2 linked regions of the Caenorhabditis elegans genome follow. The protein of the gene in region 1 interacts with the protein of each later gene in a pairwise test. Each region holds a gene or a part of one and is shown on either strand. Other genes may lie near its edges.

Region 1 (11,254 bases):
TACCTAATTTTATTGATATTATTTGGTGTTTTCTAAGAACTATATGTCAGGGTTATGTGACTCAAAGATAAAAACAATAAACAAATCACTGAACTCTTCGAAAATCTATAATTTGTAACTCATCGTAAACAATTATTTAGTTATTTACTGTTTTTTAAATATAAATGAGCAAACTTTAAAAAAAACTGAACAACAATGAAAAAGAGAGTTTTGATACATCTGATTTTTTAGTAATTTTGTAAAAGAACTAAGAAGGTACTCGATTATTAGTTTACCCAAAAAAGATTTAATAATTCCAAAATAGGGTTTGAAGCAGGAAGTAGCATGACCACTATACTTTTTTGGAACTTGATCCCAAGTTTCTCAACGTTTTCTTATCTTTACTCATACTATTTTTTAGATTTCCAAGAAAATCTAACTTTAATTTTTCCCGTTCAAAAATTCAATCATTTCCGTTTTACTACTCATTCATATTCGCCCAATCACCACCCACATTTATCCAATGCCATTTACGGAAAACGATGTTTGCTGACTTTTGATGATGCCAAACATTGTCGGTTCCCTTTAAGCTTTTCAATTAGGTATGTGAAAACATTTATTTATTCATTTTCTACATTACTATACTATTCCTAGAGAGAGACGTTCTCCTAATTTTGACTCATTAAATCCTTAGCGGTTTTAGTGTCGATTCAGTTTTTAACTCAAAGGATCCCACTCTAACAAGATCCAAATTAAAAAAAGTTTTTACTTGGCAATATCGGAATAGTTTACAGTAGACCGTTTATAAATAAATGTTCGTAGGTTTCATGAGCCCTTGAAGATTTTGATGTAGTCTGAAGTAAGGATTAATATTTATCTTATTTTCCACTTTTTTTAAAATGAGCATCAGTTAGTCTCATCGTTTTGCAGTGTTTTAAAAATTGTAAAGTCACTCACAGCTCAAGCGATGTTAAGTCAAATTCCAGTGGCATTTTACAGTACATATTTCTTACTTGTCAGGTTTCCGTACGACTCCACAACTTATCTTCCTAGCCCCATCTTGAACAACATTTTGTTATTTAAACCGTTCTAGAGATTTGTCATATTTGTAATGTAAAATTAAAGATTTTTGGTTGCGTCTGAAAATAAGTGACGTACGGATAAAGAGTACAATTTCTGAAAAAATTGTTTGGTGATAATTTCTAATTTCTCTATTGACTCAATTTTCATAACTCACACGAGTCAGATTATGGGTTTTGACTATAAATTGTTGGTGTCCGATGACAACAAAAACAGTCAGAATGATAGAAAAATGAGACATCAAACTCGTAATATGAATCAATTTTGGATCATGGGATTCGATGACTCTATTTTTCAAAAAAAAAAAAACCACTCCGTATATAAACTAGAGTTTATTTAAACACTAATTTCAATGATCACGAAAATGGAAAATATATAACATTCATTCCGAATTTCTGTTCGTTTGCAGGCAGTATATAATGTAATCTTTATTTAACTGGAAACGTTTTAAGTTATCAACCAGTAATGTGGGGGAGATCACAATTGATTTTCAACTCATGAAAATCAAAGTCACATTTTGAAATTGAAACATCAGATGCACGAGAAATTACGTATTTTTTAAACACATTTATGATTGAGCTTCTAACATTCTATGGATGTAATGTTTGATTTTTCGATTCTCAAGTTAGTTTTGGATTGATAATCCCAAAATCTAATAATTATTTTCAAGAAAAAATGGAACAGCTCATTCTGCACCGTACTGTATAGAAAATTAGATTGAAAATACTCAGAGATATTTCTAAAGAATTATGTGAGCGACTAAATATTTATTATTCGTTTACAGTTTCCACCCATATAATCAAACCATTTGTTATCTGGTATGACCAATTGTGCCTAACTAATTTCTCTCAATCGCCAATAAAATTTCTGGAAAGCTCTTCGTACGTGACAACTCAGAATGGAGACAGTTCCCATATTCTGGAAATGCTGAGAATTCTGAGAACTCGGCGTCATTGAATCACACGTATCATCATTTATCGTACACGTATCGTATCATTTATCATCAAACTTGAGCTATGATACCTATTTAACTTTACGTCAGCATCAGTTAGCAGACTAAAATCGAATTATAGTGGATATGAATAGAGGGCGGAAAAGCATGACAACAACGTTCGAATCGAAAAAACAACTTGAACCGTTGAGAAATGTTCAATTAGTGTTGAGTTCAAGAGCTCGGAGATCGAATTATTCCTATGATTATTTAGTTTCTCCTCTACTGTAGGTTTCAGAGCTGTGCTAAATTTATATGCATATAGAGAAAAATTATTTTTCTTCGTTGGAGAAGAAGGATCTTTTTGTATTGCATAGGATAAATAATCGGAAAAATATGCTAATCATAAGACAAAAACTTTTGGAAAAAAACTAGTGTTGCTTCGCGATTCGGCACCTGGGTGAACATCTCCAAAACGTGGGAAATTTTTTGAAAATTACTCGGCTAATGACTAGTGTTTTATCTCGTCTACTCATCATATACAACTTCTTACAAGTGTCTACTTCTCGAATTAAATTCCGATTTTCCCCGATTCGAAGAGCCGCACAGCTCTGATAAGAATCACGAAATTGAACTCGGAAAATCTCGAGATCAGTTCCGCCATATTCGTTTTGTTTCCTACATTCATTTGTTCTCATTTCAAATGTTTATTTTAGTCTTTCTCGTATTTTTCTTTGCTTATTCTGCGTTCCATCATAATATCTATTTTTCTTTCCATCTTTGATACGGAAATAACACATTAGGCTTGTGTTTGATGTGACCCAGTTATCACATCTCTCCCACCCTTGCCACGTCATCATTCATCCACAGAGCATTCGGGTCGAAGGGGGTGGAGCTTGTAAACGAGCAGGGGAGGATGCTCCGCCCGTCGTGTTCTTCTGCAAAGAATTGAAGTCGAATTTTTTATTTTTCATTCCATTTTTATGAGATGGTAGTTGTTGGTACGTACACCAGTTTTATGATCTTGGCCACTCAATTCGGGGTTTTCAAGTTGTTTTAGTGTTAGAGACCTCTGGAATTCAAGAGTACGTCTTGATTTATTTTACATGTAAAGTGGTGTCAATTGTAATTCCTCCAGGACCACTGTCATGACTTCAAGCTAGCTTGCAATTAGAGGTCAAAAGTATATGATACCGTTTGACAACAGGTGCCAATGAATCCACAAATCAAATACACGCGCGAGCCCCATCCTCAAACGAGACGTGATCACATTTAAGCCCGGATTTGCGGCAATCGAACATTTTTGATAATTGCCGAAATTGCCGAGTGCCGGACTGTTTCGGCAATTTTCAAACCTAACTAAAGTTAGAAAATTTTAAAAAAATCAGCCTTGTTCTTTAATAATAGATTAGTCTTCGTTTGAAATAATATTTTGACGCAAAAATTATCAGACTTATATTTTCGGCAATTCAGATTTCCGGAAATTCGCCAAATCGCCGAAATTGCCAAAAATTCGATTGTCGAATGGAAATAGTCGCGCACCTATGATCCAAGCCCTCAAAACCTGTGCATTACCTAAAAATTCCAGTATCCAAATTATTCATCTTTCAAACGAAATCTGAGATTTATATTCAAAATGGATAACCTCCTCTTCAGATCTCACTTTTACTCTCACCTTTCTCTTTTTCCACTTTTCTTATCCAATTAACGTTTATGACCGATAATAAAGGTCAGTTTGTTTTTGAAATGAGTAGAGAGAAGTGTTCAATTATTCCTTTTCCTTGTTAGACATTACCAGAACAATTCAATTTGCCACGTCATCAAAAGTACGTGATCAAAAAAGACCCGAAGATGATGTGATGAAGAAGGAGTGAAAGATGAAAGAAGACCACCAAGAAGCACGCTGAATTTTTGATATTATTAACATTTCTTCAGAGACTAGAGTACCTACTTTCGTTTCAACATTTTCTCATTTTCTTTCCTCTTTCCTCATTCTCATGACCTTACCATGAATTCACCCATCTCACTAATTATACGCCTAAATCTTTTCTTATTCTCGAATCATGGACACTTTTCTAGGCAATCAACTCATACAGCAAAGGATGCAACTCTCCATCGTTTTCGTCTTTTTTGTTCTCTGCTTGGCCGCTGTTTTTGCTGTTCCTATCAGCGATGGTAAGCTTTTTAACTGTATTTCTAGTATACACTCAGTTTTCGGTAAATGAGTCAAAGTAAAATCATGTAAGAATCTGAAATATTGAAAGTTGCGTTTTTTAACCATGAGAAAAATTTACTGGTTTTTTTGGGCATATGAGAATTTTCACTACGAAATTCGTTCACTTGAAAACATTTTGAGTATGCCTTCATAATATCGTTAGTTCTCCTTTACTAAATAACTTCCAATTTCATCAGATTTTTTTCGAAAAATTTTTAACAAGCTGGCTTAGTCATTATAAAAAACCGAGCTATTTTGGGTAAAATACACAGATTTGTTTGTTACAAGTTTTGCAACTGGCAAACAACTGATTTTGTTGTTTTTAGGCGATCTCACAGAATAATATTCTGTAGTTTGAGTTTTCCCAGCGTCAAAGAGAAACAAAATAAAACCGAAAACTGTCAATCAAAGTGGATTGATCAGAGTAAAAACTATCTTAATAATCCATTTCCAGCTTCCCGTGCTCGTCGTCAAGTCGCATCGGAGAAGCGTCAACCAAAGGCACGCTCTGGATACATTCGATTCGGAAAACGAAGAGTCGATCCAAATGCAGAACTTTTGTATCTCGACCAACTTCTCATTTGAATCCGGCATTCCGACATCTCTTTCATCATCTTCTTCATCATCTTCAACAAAATCCACGTCATCATGCGCCCTTTCTTTCTCTGCGTCTCGTCTAGTCTCTCATTCTCATGTTACAGTAATCCAACAATTATTGAACACTGAACAATTAATTCCTTCTTCTCAACCATCCCCACCAGTCGTCAAGTTTTCGTTTCATCAAATTTCTTGACCTGAAAAATATTCGTTTCATATTTCTAATAACGAAGATTTGATCTCGAAGCGCTTTTAACTAAAATGTCACCAAATAAATTATATTCATTTAATTTTACAATTGCTTCTCTTTTTCGTCTTTTATTTCTCTTGAATTCTTCTCCACCCATCGACCCCCGAACACATCCCAATGCTTTTTTGTTTGATTGTCGCATTCCAGTATTTTCAGTTTCAAAATACACAGCGAATAAAACGATTTGTTGTATTTTTATATTTAATATCATAAAAATTATTATGCTCAAGACTTTGAGTTCTCTATTTCAATAGAACATTTCCGAGTTCGTGAATCAGGGTATTGTGAATATGGATGAAAGAATCTGCTTCTATTATGACTTTGTGTTTATTTCTTCCCAGTTATTACATTATTACGTTATTATTAATCACTAAAATCTACTAATTGACGTTTACAACTTTAGTAGAGATCTGTTAAACATTAAAGCTCCAAGAAAACTACTCAATCAGTACAAGAACGAACTAGTCATAATTTTGGCGACCGCCGAAATTACCAACTGAATTTAATTTAAGACTTTTTTATTAAACTGCATATGAAACCCCAAACTTCGTCCTTTATATAATCAAATAAGAGAGACAAATTTTAAGATTTTTTTGTGTAGATTTGTGATTACTACAGTAATTCTTCAGGGGGTTGTGTGTACTCTAAATAAAAAAGGAGGTGGCAGTCCTGACGATTAAAGTAACATTTTTTATAAGGACATTTTGAGCCAAGTGATAAAAAACATCAGCATTTGGTTTTAAAAATCCAAAAACAAAAAAAAACGTGAACCCGAAATGAGAACGCAAAAAAACAACTTGGAAAAAACAAACATCGAAAATCTATAAAATCAATCGATTTTTGATTATTTCGAATTGTTCTCACAACTTCTTTTCCAATTAAATTTGGAAAATTATTTCTATCACAAAAGGTACGCAAGTTTCAAATTTTCAGGCTTCTTAATTCATTTGATTTTCAGAAGGAAAACATTGCAAAATGGGATCAAACGAGCTGTTTACAAGATCCGTGTACATGCAGTCATCGGTCTATTCGAATAATTCAAAGTGAGTCTAGTTTTGGGTATCAGCTGAAATTTCAATCTTTCTTTTTCAGAAGCAGTACATCTAGTTCATCTTCAAATTCCATTCCTACTCAAAGTGCTCCAGCGATGAATGCTGCTTCCTCTCCAAGGTTTGAGATTTTCAGAAAATAAATGAATTTCGATAGTTTGGTTTTTAGCAAAGAGCCAGCAAAGCAAGAAAAAGAGGATGACAAGAAGGAGGTAGAAGAGAAGAAAGAAATTGAGAAGTCGGTAGAGGCGAAGGTGGAGGGAAAAGTGAAGGCAAAGGTCGAGGTAAGAGCTTAAAGCCACTTCACAGTTAATTTGCGATGATCGTTTCCGCAATATGCACATTGTGTTCGGCTCTCGATCCATTGTGCGCACATTGCGAAGTAACTGTTGGAATTACGAATTAACTGTTTTTTTTTCAGTCCACGCAGAATACGGACAATAGTCAAGAATTGAAAGCTCCCGAAGAGAAACCAAAGAAGAAGAAGAAAAAAAAGTCTAATCTCATTGTTTCGGCTTCTGTTGAGAAACTATCAATTGTCCCTGAAAAGGAAGACTTTTCAATCTTGGAGAAAAAGCTTCGCGAGTTCAATTTCTACCACGGCTTTTTGCCTCGAGAGGATCTTCACACAACTTTGCACAATCCAGGCGATTTCCTTCTTCGAGTTTCTGAAGTTGTGGAAGGAGAGCACAAAGTCAATCGGGAAGTGATTCTATCACTCATTCCAGTGTCCACGGTATCAAAAGACGAGGAGGATAGGAAGAAGGTGAGGAGATTGATTCAGGCCTGAATGCTGCCTATATTTCCTACCTGATCTGACTGAGGGCGCCGATGTAGTACTTTATAAGAGGTAACGCGCGCAAATGACTGTAGTAGGTAGGCGTAGGCATGGAAGCGTCATCATAAAATATCGATGTACATTGCCACTATTTCAGGTCCGCAACGTTGTCATAAAACGTGTAACAAACTTATTCTTCTGTGAGATTACTCGAACCTTTGAGTCAATTTCGGATCTTGTCACTTACTACACAAAGAACCCTGGAGGATGTGCATCTGGAACATTTCAATTAAAACATCCAATTCTTCAGCAATCATGGGAATTTATGCATTCGGACGTAACAGTTGGAAAAGTTCTCGGAGAAGGAGCATTCGGAAAAGTTTGCTCTGGAACTTTGAAGCTTAAAGATGGAACGAATGTTGATGTTGCGATTAAAATGACAAAAGTGTCGGCATTCCTCAGCAAAATGAAGATCAAGGAAATGATGAATGAAGCGAGATTTATTCGAAACTTCAATCACAAAAATGTCGTTCGTTTGTATGGAGTTGCGCATCACGAACAGCCGCTCTACATTCTGCTGGAATTGGTGAAAGGTGGATCTTTGCAAGATCATATGAAGAAGGAGAAAGGAGCTGTTTCAATTGTGGAGAAAATCAAGTTTTGTTCTGGTGCAGGTAGAGGTATCGAGTATTTGCATCAAAACAATTGTATTCATCGGTTTGTTGTTTGATTCCGTATAAATTGATAAATGATTGTATTTCAGTGACATCGCTGCTCGAAACTGTCTTCTCCACGAAAAAGAAGTCAAGATTACCGACTTTGGTCTCTCCCGAACTGGACCAGTCTACAAAATGAAGACTGCTTGCAAGCTTCCAGTCAAATGGCTTGCTCCGGAGACTTTGTCAACACTCTCGTTCTCCTTTGCCACTGATACGTACAGGTAACTTATAGTATCAGTACTTCATTCTAAAAAACTTGAAATTTCAGTTGGGGAGTCACTTGCTACGAAGTGTTTGCTGATGGTGTAGAACCCTTCTTTGGAATTCAAAATTCCGTGGTGAAGACCGATATTCTTGCGAACAAGTTCCTGCAGATGCCTCCAACCACCCCTGAGTCTATCAAGAAGTACATGGAAGCTTCGATTTTTGTCGAAGGATCGCGTCGTGCTACAATGACGTCGGCAATTGCAGAGTTCGAAAAGATCAAGTCGGCTCTAGAACGTCCTCCTTCTGATATGTTATCCGTTGGAGCTGGAGCAAAGAAAGTAATGAAACTACTGAAGAGAAATAAGCAAGAGAAGTATTCAAAAGGAGATTGAACTTGGATTTTTTGAAATAAAGGTTTTGAATAGTATCTTATAGTTGTTTCTTGTTGTGTGATCGTTTCCAGATACTTTTCATGGAAGTGCAAGAGTCTGTATAATAGTGGCAGTTAAAAAATATGCACACAATTAAAATTCCATACTCTGGCAAGACGATTTGTAGTTGTTCTTTTTAATGTTAACCTCTTCCTTCTTCATGCAGCTGTTGATTTTGACAAAACATTGCTAATTCTAAAAAAAAAAAACTTCCCACACCGTCTTTCCATTATTGGGGGAGAAACAATTATTCATTGCTATATTTTGTGAATAATACTTCAAAATAAATAATTTATTTAAATAATCAAGAAGTTATGAATGTCCTGCTGAACAAATGCTCTGCTGAACAGAAATGTGTCTAAAAATTATTTGGTATTTACTTGTGTATTATACCCCGCCATTTTAAAAATTAATTAAATTTCCATTCCATGAAGATGTTGTTTCGATGATTTTTGAAGAGAATATAACCAGTGAAACTAAACTTTTGAAAGAACAAAGAACAAAATAATATTTGAAAAAAAAACCGAATACAAATTAATCAAGCATAAAATATTCCTTTTCTAAAACTTTGTTTAAATAAGCATTTTTGCAAATCTGGTTATTAGACTAAATGTGAGTCACTATTCATAACACAATTGTATGTTCGGCTCGTTGTGCACAAATCCTTCACTTTCACTGCTTAAATCTTGATTATCTTGAACGAAAATATTTCCTAATGTAAAAATTATTTTAAATATGTTGCGTCTGCGCCCCTTCCAAAATTGCAATTTATGGGTATTCTGCAAAGTTGATCCTTTTGTTTTTTCTTGTTTCTCACGGAATACGTAACCATTTTTCTTCCTTTTGGATAAAAATCACTGAAGTTTGCTACCTAATGTCAAAATAAATATACATTTTCAAGATGTTTGGTTCAGCTGAAATGAACTTAATAAATACATAGGTGGTGTAGTCGAATTTTTTTATTGGTTTATTAGACTCAAAAGTGTCTGAAAACACCGAATTTAATAATGAAACTTCTTGAAAACTTCTAAAAAAAAGTTATGACGCCTCAAAAATTTATTTTTTTGAAATCGCAGTCAATTTTTGAGTATACAATGTAATTATCTTGCGTTTTCAACTTCGTTTAGGTATTTTAAAGTCGATTGACTGTGAGATTTTTAAATTTTTTAAAACCTATTCTCGCCGTCAATCGACTTTAAAAAATAAAGCTCAGCTGACAAAATAAACGAGTTTAAAAAAACATTCAAAAGTCAAGACAATAAGGTTTTTTTTAAATTTTCATACTTACTTAGGATACTTAGACGATCCGTTCTTCAGGAATTCGTGGTATTCCTGCGGATCACAGCAAACCATTCTTTTCGGTCCTTGGCTATAGTGGACCAGGGGGTGATGACTTCTCCGTCTGCGTCACGAGTGGTGATCTCCTTTCGCAGCGAATCAGCCCATCGCATCGGCGGCCTTCCAACAGGCCTTTTCCATCCATATGGGCGCCATTCTGTCATCAACGTGGTCCATCTTCCGTCTTTCCTTCTCGCAACGTGTCCAGCCCATCCTAGCTTCCTCTTTTTCACGAAATTGAGCGGATCCCTGACTAGAGACATCGTACGAATGTCTTCTCGATGGAGATCTCGCTCTCGTTGTTGGGTGAGTGTTATCCCAACAAGCCGTCTTTCTAGGGAGGCATGTGTGATTCGTACTCGTTCGGATAGAGCTTTGGTGAATGTCCAGGCTTCTGAACCGTAGGTGAGCGCTGGAAGGACAATTGAGTCGAACAGAGTCGCACGAATCTTCTTGTCGGTGATGGAGTCGGTGGTGTTCTTGATTCCATTGAATGCAGCCCAGGCTGCTCTACGTCTTCTGTGGATTTCCGGCATCAAGTTGTTTTGGGCGTTGATTTGACGACCGAGGTAGATGTACTCGTCGACGTCGTCGAGCTGGGTGTTGGGGGAAGGGCTACCGAAGTAGACTTTACTGGGGTCAGCGAATCGGTTTCGCAAGACTTTCGTCTTCCCAGTATTGATCTCGAGACCTACTTCAGAGCATTTTTGTACGAGTTCTTGGAGCATTTTGCTGGCAGTATTCGGATGATTGGCGATGAGCACAATATCGTCATCAAATCTAAGGTTCGTTAGATTTCTGCCATTCACTCTCATTCCAGGGATCGTATCGTAATCCTCAGCTTCTCCTTTCAATTCAATCCAGGAAAGCTTTCGGAAAACGTGTTCGAGGCAAGCGGAGAAAAGATTCGGAGAGAAAAAAGTTATGACGCCTCAAAAATTTATTTTTTTGAAATCGCAGTCAATTTTTGAGTATACAATGTAATCATCTTGCGTTTTCAACTTCGTTTAGGTATTTTAAAGTCGATGGACTGTGAGATTTTTAAATTTTTTAAAACCTATTCTCGCCGTCAATCGACTTTAAAAAATAAAGCTCAGCTGACAAAATAAACGAGTTTAAAAAAACATTCAAAAGTCAAGACAATAAGCTTTTTTTAAATTTTCATAAAATTGTCAAATTCAAAGAACTTATTTAGTCCTAAAATTAATCTAAAATGTTCAACTGTCATAGTAAAATATTTCAAAATTTTTAAATTTCCAGCCAAATGTGGCACTTGCTCAGGTTTTACTGTAAATGATAAAAAACAAAAAAGAGCCAAATACAAGAATTTATTCAATCATTTAGTTCTTCGACATTCCCTTTGGAAGCTTCACATTAGACTTCTTGCGACGAGCAGTTGTTTTCGTAGTTACAGAGTTCATTAGGAGAAGCTGAAATAAAAGTATATATTAGAATTAATAAGATTTTCGAAACAACCTCCTCTGCCTCTTTCTTCGCTATGGCTGTAAAATTGGGGCGAGGAGTTTCAGTGACACGTTGTAGGATTTCAGCAATTTCAGCCATTGATGGACGATCATTCGGATTTTCAGCATTGCATCTCTTTAAAGGAAATCATTGGTTCATTGTATTTCTAACTTTTATTTCTTACCGCCATCATTGTTTGAATCTCAGCCTGAGCAT
Region 2 (11,254 bases), on another chromosome or scaffold:
GTGACGATGCAGTGATGTCAAGGGATGGAACTGAGTATATTTATATTCAAATAGAAAAAAAATATCGAGGGGATAACATACAAGAAACATGATAATCAGGTAAAAATGATTAAATATGAATCACACAATCAGAAGAAAAACAAAAGAGAAAATAGTATTCACAATAAAAAATATGAACTGCCGACTACCTGTCAGATAATGGAGGTGATACTGATGATTGTTGTTTTGAGGATGAAGACGATGATACCTGGAAAACAATAAAATTGTATCGAAGACGAAATAAAACTTTTGACACATAATCACTTTTTTATATAATTCTGATTATTTTTTAATTTTCAGAGTGGTTTTTTTTAATATTAGGATGTAATCCAGCTATTAAGCCACAACAATTATTGCCTGGATCATACATAGGCCTGCGTTTTATCAAAGTTTTTTTAAACTTACTATTAATTAAAATTAATCGCTATATTCTGTATATAATGAAATATCTTTGTTTTTACTGTTAACAAATTTGTATGAAAAAAAAAATCAATTGAGTTTTGGATCATCTATGCTTATTTAAATTATTTATCTAAATATGTAAAATTTAATTATGTTTAATTTTGTTTTAGAACATTGCCTGGCAAATATTTAAAGTTCTTATCAGAGTTTTGCAATACAGAATGACTCACCGGAGCAGACTTTTCACAACTTGTATCAATTGCAATAGTTTCAGTTATCGCCGATGTTGTAGGCAACTGTGGATTCTGGAAAACCCATTATAATTTCAGTTCAAATTTTAAATCCACTCACTTTCATAACGGCTTCCCTTTTTCGTAATCTATTCAACATTTCTTTTGAAAATAAAATCTCCTCATCTTCTGAATCTGTGTCGTAAAGTCCAACAATAGTCTTTGTTTCTCGCATTTTCTGAAAAAAAAAGAAAAATGAAATGAAGTGATGTGCAGTTGAGCATAAGAAAATGAGGTTTTCTCAAGAAGAAAAAAAATAAAAAGAAGCTGACAACTAACAACCACTGAATAGAAAATGACTGAAATAAAAAGTCACCAAGGATACCATTACGTCACATGATCAGTCAAATTGGGTCAATTTTCCCATGGTTGCAGTTGCTAAAAAAAACTTTCGAAGTGAGCAATATTCAAATGATCAAAATTAAAACTTCTTAGATTTTAGTTAAACATTTTTATCATCTTATAAAAATAAATCTTTGGAAAAATTCATAAAAATTATGAAATAAACTTCGAAATTCATACAGTGAAACCACGAAATAACTATTTTCATATATTTTCTCGAAAGTTGAGTAGAAGGCAGCAGTTCAACTGACTGAATAGCAAATAAGATGAGAAAAGAGCAAACAATTGAACTGCCAATCTCTATTTATTTCTATTATCTATCATCTGTTCTGAAAAACAAATCCTAGTCTAAAAAGTATATATCAAAGTTATGAAGGGATGAATATTTCCGTAATTATGGATAATCTCAAATGATATGTATAAATATATACGAAACAATCTTTTAAATCTGAATTTGAAGGCTTATAAAATACATTTCTGAAAAAAAAATCAATGGAAAAATATCGGACTCTAAGAGACCTTGTAATCCTTTTGTTGGAAGAAACCTACCACAAGTACACTTATGGCGATTTTATATAAATTGCGGGGGAAAACAGGGGGGAGAGAGAAATAGAAGTAGTGTTTACGTGAGTGTATGGCGTCAGAGAAGGTGTCTCTCTTTCGGTGACTAACCAAATATATATTATATATTTGGTGAAAGTGGGAATACTGAGCAAAAGCTTGTACAAGGAACACCTGCATCTCTAGGTTTTCCCTTTTCCCTTTTTTGTTTTTGTTATATGTTTTCATGTGTAATATGATTGGATTCGTTAGTAGAAAAGAAACAACTCACAGGCCCACTTAATGAGAAATTAGTTGTTAAAAAATTATTCTCCAATTTATCACAGTTTCTCAACCTTTTTTTGAGGTAACAATGCAAAACGTAAGAAATTATAGGCAATATATGTATATGGAGCACGATGAAAAAAGTAATAGGTGAGCAATGGGCCAAAATTCAAAGCTTCTTGGTTTGCACACTTTAATGGCCGGAAATTTTTACGGAAAAAACTAGAAAACTTCAAGAAAAGAATAGAGCAAAAAATAGATGCGATTTTAAAATTAAAAAAATTCTTCATTGAATGAGAATTTCTCAAATTTTTTGTGTTACAACACAATTGCTCACAGACTTCATTGTGGGTTTAATTGAAAATTTGATCGACAATAGGGCTCGAGTCTTTTATATTAAATTGAATAGTTTTTTAGAATACAAATGTCAAAAACACGCACAGCTTTCAACAAAATTGGAACATGCAAACAAGAAATTTCCAACTCGATAGGTGTACAAGTCTGAGGAGACTGGTAACTTTTTACAACAAAATAAAAGAATAAACTATTGAAATATATGGAAAACTGACCGGTTTTGACTTCAACGGCAGCAGAATTCCCTTGTCGAGTTCGATGTAACTCATCTCTGTCTGTTTTGGTTCGTCCTTCAAATGACTGTCAAATGGTAGTATTTCACCTGCAATTAACGGAAAGAAAGGTCATTTGGTAGTGAAATTGAGAGTTGAAACTAATTAGTTTAATAGGTGAAATAAATTTTAAAGAAAACTGCATACTTTAATTTTTAAATTCTTTCTCTTTAAAAGAATTTCTTTCTTAAGAAAACTTTTCAAAATCTTACTTTTTCTTCTTTCGTTTTCAGATTCTTTCAAATGGTCCAAAAGCTCAAAAACTCCAATGAATTTCCTGTTCTCCGACTCCATTTTAGAAACAATTTTTGCTTTTACAGAGTAAAAAAATGAAAGAAAACGGGAAAAAATTGACATTGGATGATGGATTTTTGAATGTTTTGATGGCAAAAAAATAACAAAAAAGGTGAAAAGAGAAACAAATATTCCGGGGCTTTATGTGATGATACCGAACTTTGACTTCAAATTTCTCATGAACAATGGAGTTTTTTTATTTTAAAAATTTCATTATGCAAAGTCAATGACTATCGAATTGGCTATATATTTTAAATGAAACAAATAGTATAAACTGACCTGCTCCACTGATAATAACAGAAAGAATGGAGACTTGACGATGATGATTGACGTCTGAATCTGAGAATCCGTGCACTGATATTCTGAAATTTTATGAATACATAATCATTGTAGATTTCGAAAAAAAAGTACAAATGAAGTTCTCATTTTGCATTGGAATTCGAAGGCAACATTCTGGCAACAACTTGCCAATTTATTAAGTTCTTTCAAATATGTTTATGCCAAGAAGTTCCTCCAAATTCCGAGAAAAAATATATCAGAAGAATTCGTTTATTCAGTAATCCTATAAATTACTATTCGCGTTGTTATAAATAGTTAAAGTTGAAAAACTACCTCAGAGCAGTTAAAAAATTTCCAACGAAAATTGAAAGCTATTTGTAAGCAACACGGTTTTTGGAAAAAAATTCCCACTCACAAAAATGCAATCTAATATAAAACGGAAAAGGTATAATCGAGCGGAAGTGGGGGTCAAATTGAAATTCATGGAAAATTGGAATAAGAGAAGCAGAGTGTATTGAAAACGAGAGTCTTTTTTGACATTGAAGTCATGTGCATTGAGCTCGTTTTAGCGGATTTCAGAAAAAAAAACTGCTAGACTTGCTCATTTCATCGTGTAATAATTTTTGAGAAAGGGTTCAACATAAAGTGTATTTAATTTACGAAATTTTGAACAAGTTCATAATGAGCTGTAATTTTGGATAAAATGTTTTTTAAAAGATGCATTAAACTAGATATCTTCGATGTTTGAAGGTTGATAATATAAGTCAAAAAATATGCTTCAATTTTCTTCGAAAAAGAACGAGAAGGGAAAGAAAACAAAAAAATGAGCGAATCGAAGAAAATTGGCTGAAAGAAATAATTGTTACGTCTGAAAAATGAAAAATATGGGAAACAGCATGCTTTTGACACAGATCTGTGGCATTTATGGGTTGAATAAAAAAGATTTGGCAAGACGGGTAATGTCTCAATTTTTGTTTTACGTGTTACCAATAGTGAGCATTTCTCAATGGCAACCGAACTTTAAAATATATTTTACATTTTCGTGCAAAAAGGATATAATGATACAAAAGCCAATAAACTTTGAATGTATATAGTAATAGTATCTTCTAGAATCTTCCATCCATAATGACAATTCTCATAGATACACGCCTCTTGTAGACGTGTAGTCTTGACTACAAACTATTGTTTATTGTGCTCGACCGTCCGAACCAAACAGTTTTGGCACATGAACACAAACCACGACTTGTTTTTTGTCTATGTTCTATTTCTCCGTTTCCTAGTACCTACCGACACTTACTCTTAGTAAAATCGAACGAAAAAAAAATGACGAGAAAAGATGTAAGTAAACAGAAAAAGAAAACGACGTGGACATTTGGGTGCCAACAGCCGTTTTCAAAAAGAGTGGAAGCCTAGTGGTGGAACCCATTATTTGCTTTTGAATTGACGATTTGACAACAATTTTGTGCAGATATATTTGAAATGATGATGATGCTTTCAGAGATTCTGTTCAATGTATAAAAAGTTATACTTGCGGATTTTTAATGTGAGCTCTTTCTTCTTTTTTAGACAAACCTCACAAATTTAGCTGGTGAATTGAAGAAAACAGTTGCCTTCGGATGCTTCTGACCGTATTCTACATGAAAATCGTCTCTGAATGAAAGCTCTTGACGAACTGAATAATCGGCATTGTAAGATTTTCCACGAGAGTTTCGAAAATGATTTGATGGAATTCCAAGTGAAACTGTCAAGGATGATGCTGAAATTATTTTATTGAATGAACGTAGATTCGATTCTAAAACTACGTGGATAATCTTTATGAACAATTAGCTTAACACTGCTGACGAGACTTTCTTCTTCGAGCTCTAATACCATTGATTGTGGAAACGAATGGTTTCTGAAATATTTTTATAATAAAACTTTCGAATTTAAAAAGCAAGAACTTTTCAGTTATCCAATTGACATAAAATGTTTCAGCTTCTTCATCCGAGTCAGCATCTTCCAAAACATCTTGGGAAGTTGTAGAGATTATTGAAAATGGAAGAGGCATGTAAAGTGTTGAATATTGAGTTTTTGAAGAAAAAAAGGATAAGTGGCAATAGAAGATGTGAATTATTCAATATTTAAAACAAAAGTCGTAGAAACAAGGAAAAAACAGCAAGTATATGGAAACGGTTGGTGATGTTTAAAAATTTTCTAGGTGTACTCTGATATCTAGTTATTAAAATTGTCTACTGTTACAGTATCCTTCATGTGCAGTTGGATCTTTAAAAAATTATATTTTAGGAGTAAGTTTCGCAGGGATGGTCGAATTTGAACTTCAGCCAGTTGGAAGTAGACTCGAAAGGCACCGGATGGTACCGAATATGATATTTTAATCAGTATATCTAATCAGTATAAGATGTATATCTAGAGTTCAATCAAACTGCTCTGTAAAGCCTAATTCATTTAGATATGTAGAAGAACTGTCTACAAAGTAATCTGTAAAAACGTACAGAACTATTTAATTGATATATTGAAATTTTATTTCACGTAACCTCTTCGTTTGTGTAAATTTCATCATAACGTGTTTCTTCCTCTTTTTCCAAATTAACAACTCTTCGCTAATCATTCCCTTGTTCTACGAGATCGTTGGAAGGTTCTAGCTATGAACGTCACCAGTGTCACTTCAGAGGATGGTGTTAAAGAATTCGAAAAGATTGTTGTGGAACCTGAAGATATCGAATATGTTGAGGTAAACCTTTGTTATTTTCGTTCTTCCCGAGAACCTCATATTACAGATTCCGGCCGATGCCAAAAACGTTGACTTGACGCGTCACCGTATCAAAGAAATCGGTGATTATTCGTGGCTCACTCACGTCGAACACTTCTCGTTTCGTTGGAATCTGATCAAAAAGATTGAAAATCTGGATTGTTTGACAACGTTGACTCATCTCGAGTTTTACGATAATCAAATTACAAAAGTTGAAAACTTGGATAGCCTCGTCAATTTGGAGTCACTCGACCTGTCATTCAATCGTATCACCAAAATTGAAAATTTGGAGAAGTTGACAAAACTGAAGACTCTCTTTTTTGTTCATAACAAAATCACTAAAATCGAGGGTTTGGATACGTTGACTGAGCTGGAATATCTCGAATTGGGTGACAATAGAATTGCGAAAATCGAGAATCTCGACAACAATCTGAAACTCGATAGATTGTTCCTTGGCGCTAATCAGATTCGTCTTATTGAAAATGTTGATCATTTGAAGAAGCTCACAGTTCTCAGTCTTCCAGCCAATGCGATTACTGTAGTTGATGTATAGTTATTTCTTCTTTCTAAATACCACTTATAAAACAAAATTTCAGAACATTTCGGGACTTCACAACTTGAAAGAGATTTATCTGGCTCAAAATGGCATCAAGTACGTTTGTGGAATCGATGAGCATCTTCCTCTTGAAATTCTGGATTTCAATCAGAATCGTCTTGAGAAGGTCGAGAATATCCATCAATTGAAGACACTTACAGACTTTTGGGCAAGAGGAAATAAGGTAATATAGATCATTTGATTACATTCCATAACTAATCAATTCTTTGTTAATTTTAGTTGGATAACTGGAGCATTATGGATGAATTGGTTGAACTTCCACAACTCAATAGTGTTTACCTCGATTTCAATCCAATTGCATCAGTGGATACTTATCGTGGAAAGGTTATTCATCTCTTGCAACAAATTACTCGTCTTGATGGAACTCAGTGCCGTGAGGTAATTTAAAACTTAATTAAATTAATCTTCAATTTGTTTTTTAATTTCAGCATTCGATGCTCCGTCCACCAAAAGAAGAGAAGAATGAGACAGAGCTTTCGCGTGTTGTACTTGATAATCCGTCTGATGATCATCCCACTGAGTCCGTCTAATACTTGAACTTTAGCATTTATTCAACTAGATGAAGATTTCTTGATTATTGATATTTTATTAAACAAGGAAGCCGGAAATAAATAAAATAAAAGAGGGAGCGATTTTGAATCGGGGGTTGTTGAAGCTAAAACTTAATAGGGTAATACTGGTAATAGAGAATAAGGGGAAGTGTCCCAACCAATGGTGTATTTCATCAACGGAAGTGAATATCGTGGTGGAAAATTGAATGAATTGAAATCAGACGTGTCAAAAAGTCAAATTAGTTTGATGATTTTTACTTTTTCAGCTCGTCGAGGGCCTTTTGAAGTACGTCGAAAAGAACTGATGGCTTCTGGAAGTCGTTGTCGACGAGAGTAACCAAACGGAACTCATCATGAACAGCCTTGATGACTCCATATGATTTAGATTCTTTTGGATAAAAATCTCCCCTAAAATTAAACAATTAGACAGAACGAGTGATTAGATACCTTACCATTGGGCCATCCACATTTGGTAAGCTTCATCTCTCCATGCGCGGAAAGAGAGTGGATCGACGACTGTTGGCTGGGCAATCTCAGATCCTGGGAATACTCCCCAAGTAACTGCAATCGGAGTGGTTTCTTCGCTGTTGGTCTTGTCGAAGGTACTCTGAAGAAGAATTTATTTTATGGTTTTTAAAATTACTTTTTAAACATACATCCTTATTGATGGCATGGTAGTTAACTCTGACTGGGAATTCTCTCTCGATGATTTGAATGAGCTTGTCGGACAACTCCGCGGTCATGAAGCATTCGAGGTATGCCTTTTGGTAGCAGTAACCTCCTGGTTTTCCCCACCCAACAAGTGGATCAGTGGATGGAGCTCCATTAACTGATGGCTGACTGTTGACGGTCAGAATTCCATTCTCATTACACCAAACAAGTTGTTCACTGATCAATGAAGTTTCTGGCTGAACACCAGTTTCAGCTTCTGTCCATGGAAGTACAGTAACCTTGACGCCATCGGCGTTTGGAGCTTGAGTAATGTAGTTGATGAACACGCGCTTGACGTCTTCAAAACTCTCGATGTTGGCTCCGAACATAGCTAGACGGTCATCGGCGTTTCGAACAGTCTGAAATTTTATCTGTGAGAAAGTTCTAACACAATCTTTGAACGAACCGTCAAATTAGACAAGTAGTAGCTGCTGACATCTCCAAATGCTGGCGATGAACTGTTTCCCCATCTTCCGTTAGGGAATTGATCCCAATCACGAGTTCTGGTGATGTAACTGCGTGGGCGGAAACTCCAGTAAATTGGACGAACACTTTCCAGACATCTGATAGGATGTTGCGAACGATTTTTCCATGGGAAAACACGATCACCCTCGAGTTTCCAGAGACCAAGAGATTTGAGAATTTCACGAATACTTCCTTCACGATTCATAGTGTATAGATGGATGGAAGGGGCAGTTCCATTGTCAAGAAGACGGCGGCACATTTCAATGCAACGCTCTGTTCCGTACTTTTGAACAGCATCATCATCGTGCTTGATTGGTTCGAGATCATCAAGAATATGTTGTGGAATCTCAAGTTGTGAGAGTTTGGCAATACGTTTGATAGACTCATAACCCATAATTGGCATGATTCCCGGAATAATTGGCTGAGTGATTCCAATTTCACGGCAGTCGCGCACAAACTTTTCGAAAGTTTCAGCCTCAAAGAATAATTGAGTAATGACGAAGTTTGCTCCAGCATCACATTTTGCCTTCAAGTACATAAGATCAGCTTTGTAAGACGGAGCTTGTGGATGTCCAAGAGGATATCCTGCGCAACCAATTGAGAAGTAGTTTCCATATTCTTCGCGGATCCAGCGGATCATATCAAGTGCACGGAATTGATGGGTATCTTCGAGCTCAGTCTAAAATTGAAAAATATTATTTAATTTTTTGACAATCTTGTTTCATGATTAACTTACGCCCGGTGGGAGATCTCCTCTCAAAGCAAGAATACTTCTCAATCCCATTGCCTTGGCTTGCTCGAGATGTTTCAAAGTATCAGCTTTATTGTATTGAACACAAGTCATATGCAACATAGTGTCGACTCCACAATAATCAAGCATTGAAGCAGCAATCGAAGACGATGAAGTCACTTTATCGACGTTAGCTGGATCACTTCCCATATGCCATGTCATATCGACAAAGACGGATCCACCTTCGGAAAGACGTTCAACACGCTCTAAGAAGTTTGGAACTCCATTGACAAATCGAGGTGGGAAGAATTCAAGAGAGAAGAATTGTTGTTTCTCATCGATAAGACGTTCAATTCTCTCGTGAAGAAGTTCATAATGCCTGAAATATAAATTTGTTTAGTAATAGCTTTATATCTGATCAAAACTTACTTTGGTGACCAGCTCTTTCCAGATTCCAGAGTTATCTTCTCCTCGACAACCGCATTCTCATCGGTCTCAACACCACTGAAATTCAAAATATTATATTATTCGATCAAAAAACCTGAATCAACAACCCACTTTTTACTTAAAACGGCCATTTCAACTAGAGTCTCCGAGGAAACAAAATTTGTTAGCGACAAATGAAGAAATGTGGCAAACAGGATTCTAAGGGCGGAGTGTTATATATCTTCTCCAGAATCATCATGTGATTCGATATGAATCTCGGGAGAGATCTAGGAACGTAACAATTATGATTTGGACAACTTGTTCTTTGATACTGACACAGTAGGAAAGTACTTTTTTTCAAATTTTTCAGAACTTCGGAAAACAAAAAGCTGATGTTGAACTAATACAGTGCTACATCGAAATAATAATTCACTATCATCAATGATATATTAGCTTTTTCTTGTTTGAAATTTCGGATCGAATAAATTATTTCCCTGTATTTTTCCTTGGAAATTTCTTGCTTGGTGTCTTTTGTTCCACTTAATAGAGAGATACTGATCAAATTGTCTCCTAGAAGGCAAGAAAACACGGTTAGATTTAAATTTGATAGATCAGTATTCGATCTTTTCCGAGTGCAGAGAGAATAATGTGTCGCAGAGGACTAACAAACTTTTTTCTGATAATAGACACGTTTTGTACTCTGCCGTGTTCACCTTCATTGATAAGATATTGTGGGGTGATAAGAGATGAAATCATTAGCAACGATAAGTAATTACTATGTTTCTAAAAGTCAATTAGCTCATTTTTGAAAAAAATACTATTTGTGATTCAAAAGGTTGCAACTTGCAAATATTTTGGACAATTCTAGTATATAAATGCACCATGTTTCTCCGACATTTTTCGTTAAAAATTAGTTTTAAAATATAGGAAATCAATCGATTTAGCTGTAAATATAGTTTACTTCGGATGATAATTTTGAAAAAGTGCTTAAAAATTACTTGGAAGTTGCAAATTGCCGATTGTCGAATTATCAAGCTTTGTTTTTCGGTAATTGGCAACTTTCAGGTCATTTTCTGCATTTTCTCATATGTTTCTTTTTTTTTAACTAAACATTCTAACTTTAGCCATAATCAGCGTGCTTTTTTTTTGAAAATTTCAAGTTCTTGAAATTGAACAGAAATTGTATTTTTTTTTTGAAAGGTTTTCACTCTCAACAATATAAAAATGCCCAAATCACGTGAATATCAATGGTATCCAACAGTTGACACTGATAAGAGATCAGTTTGTGATCGCAGTGGGACAAATGGGTGGTAGACATGTCTTCTGATAAGATAGAGGTCAAGTAGGTAGAATTGGTAGAAAGGAGGCATATTTCAGTGCTTTTTTTAAAAGCATTTTGAGACATAAAAAGATGCTCTAAGTTTAGAAGATTAATATAAAGAACCTACCAATATGGCATTGTGGACAGAGAATCGATCTTCTTAATGGTTCCATGAGATTCAATAACTTTAGTTTCTCCAGTATTCGTCATTTTCCTTGGTTCGTTTTAACCGTAGTTATTCTCTGTCGGGAACCACGAATCCGTTGTTTGATGAGATTCACCGACTGAAATTTGCTCGTATTAAGTCCGATTCTTTTATACAATCAGAGAAAAGGGCGGAGCGTTAAGGTGGCAAACGGTTGGTAAATTGGAAAAAAGAGAAGTCATAGAACTATCAATGTCCGCTAAATGTTCTTAATCTAAGCAAAAATGACAAGAAAATGAGAAACAAACGTGCTTCTGGCATAAAACCACTTGTTTTGTTCAATATTTATATAGAAGGAACATAGCATGCTGGGTCTCTCGTTCTCTCACTAAAGCGTTCGTCGTGGCACTCAGTGCACTTTTGCATACATGAAGCAATACACA

What was found.
Region 2: the proteins of T06C10.3 (region 1) and C06A8.6 interact in a two-hybrid assay, tested with the Caenorhabditis elegans proteins (one large-scale study listed by BioGRID).

What each region holds. Positions count from the first base shown.
Region 1 is NC_003282.8:7,864,838-7,876,091, forward strand, and holds T06C10.3 (Tyrosine-protein kinase), read left to right. Parts: upstream 1-5,913; 5' UTR 5,914-5,962; intron 5,963-6,010; 5' UTR 6,011-6,027; coding exon 6,028-6,095; intron 6,096-6,144; coding exon 6,145-6,222; intron 6,223-6,270; coding exon 6,271-6,385; intron 6,386-6,522; coding exon 6,523-6,867; intron 6,868-7,036; coding exon 7,037-7,596; intron 7,597-7,642; coding exon 7,643-7,819; intron 7,820-7,866; coding exon 7,867-8,197; 3' UTR 8,198-8,232; downstream 8,233-11,254. Other genes in the region: flp-10 (FMRF-Like Peptide), read left to right, coding at 4,093-4,165, 4,660-4,790; kin-26 (Tyrosine-protein kinase), read right to left, coding at 10,915-11,004, 11,051-11,173, 11,223-11,254.
Region 2 is NC_003280.10:7,766,874-7,778,127, forward strand, and holds C06A8.6 (U2A'/phosphoprotein 32 family A C-terminal domain-containing protein), read left to right. Parts: upstream 1-5,625; 5' UTR 5,626-5,741; coding exon 5,742-5,828; intron 5,829-5,874; coding exon 5,875-6,393; intron 6,394-6,442; coding exon 6,443-6,625; intron 6,626-6,681; coding exon 6,682-6,840; intron 6,841-6,890; coding exon 6,891-6,992; 3' UTR 6,993-7,041; downstream 7,042-11,254. Other genes in the region: cepr-104.2 (Centrosomal protein CEP104 N-terminal domain-containing protein), read right to left, coding at 189-247, 672-746, 793-909, 2,468-2,574, 3,098-3,180, 4,670-4,853, 4,900-4,991, 5,038-5,144; mthf-1 (putative methylenetetrahydrofolate reductase (NADPH)), read right to left, coding at 7,268-7,421, 7,466-7,620, 7,670-8,083, 8,131-8,868, 8,926-9,298, 9,349-9,423, 10,794-10,876.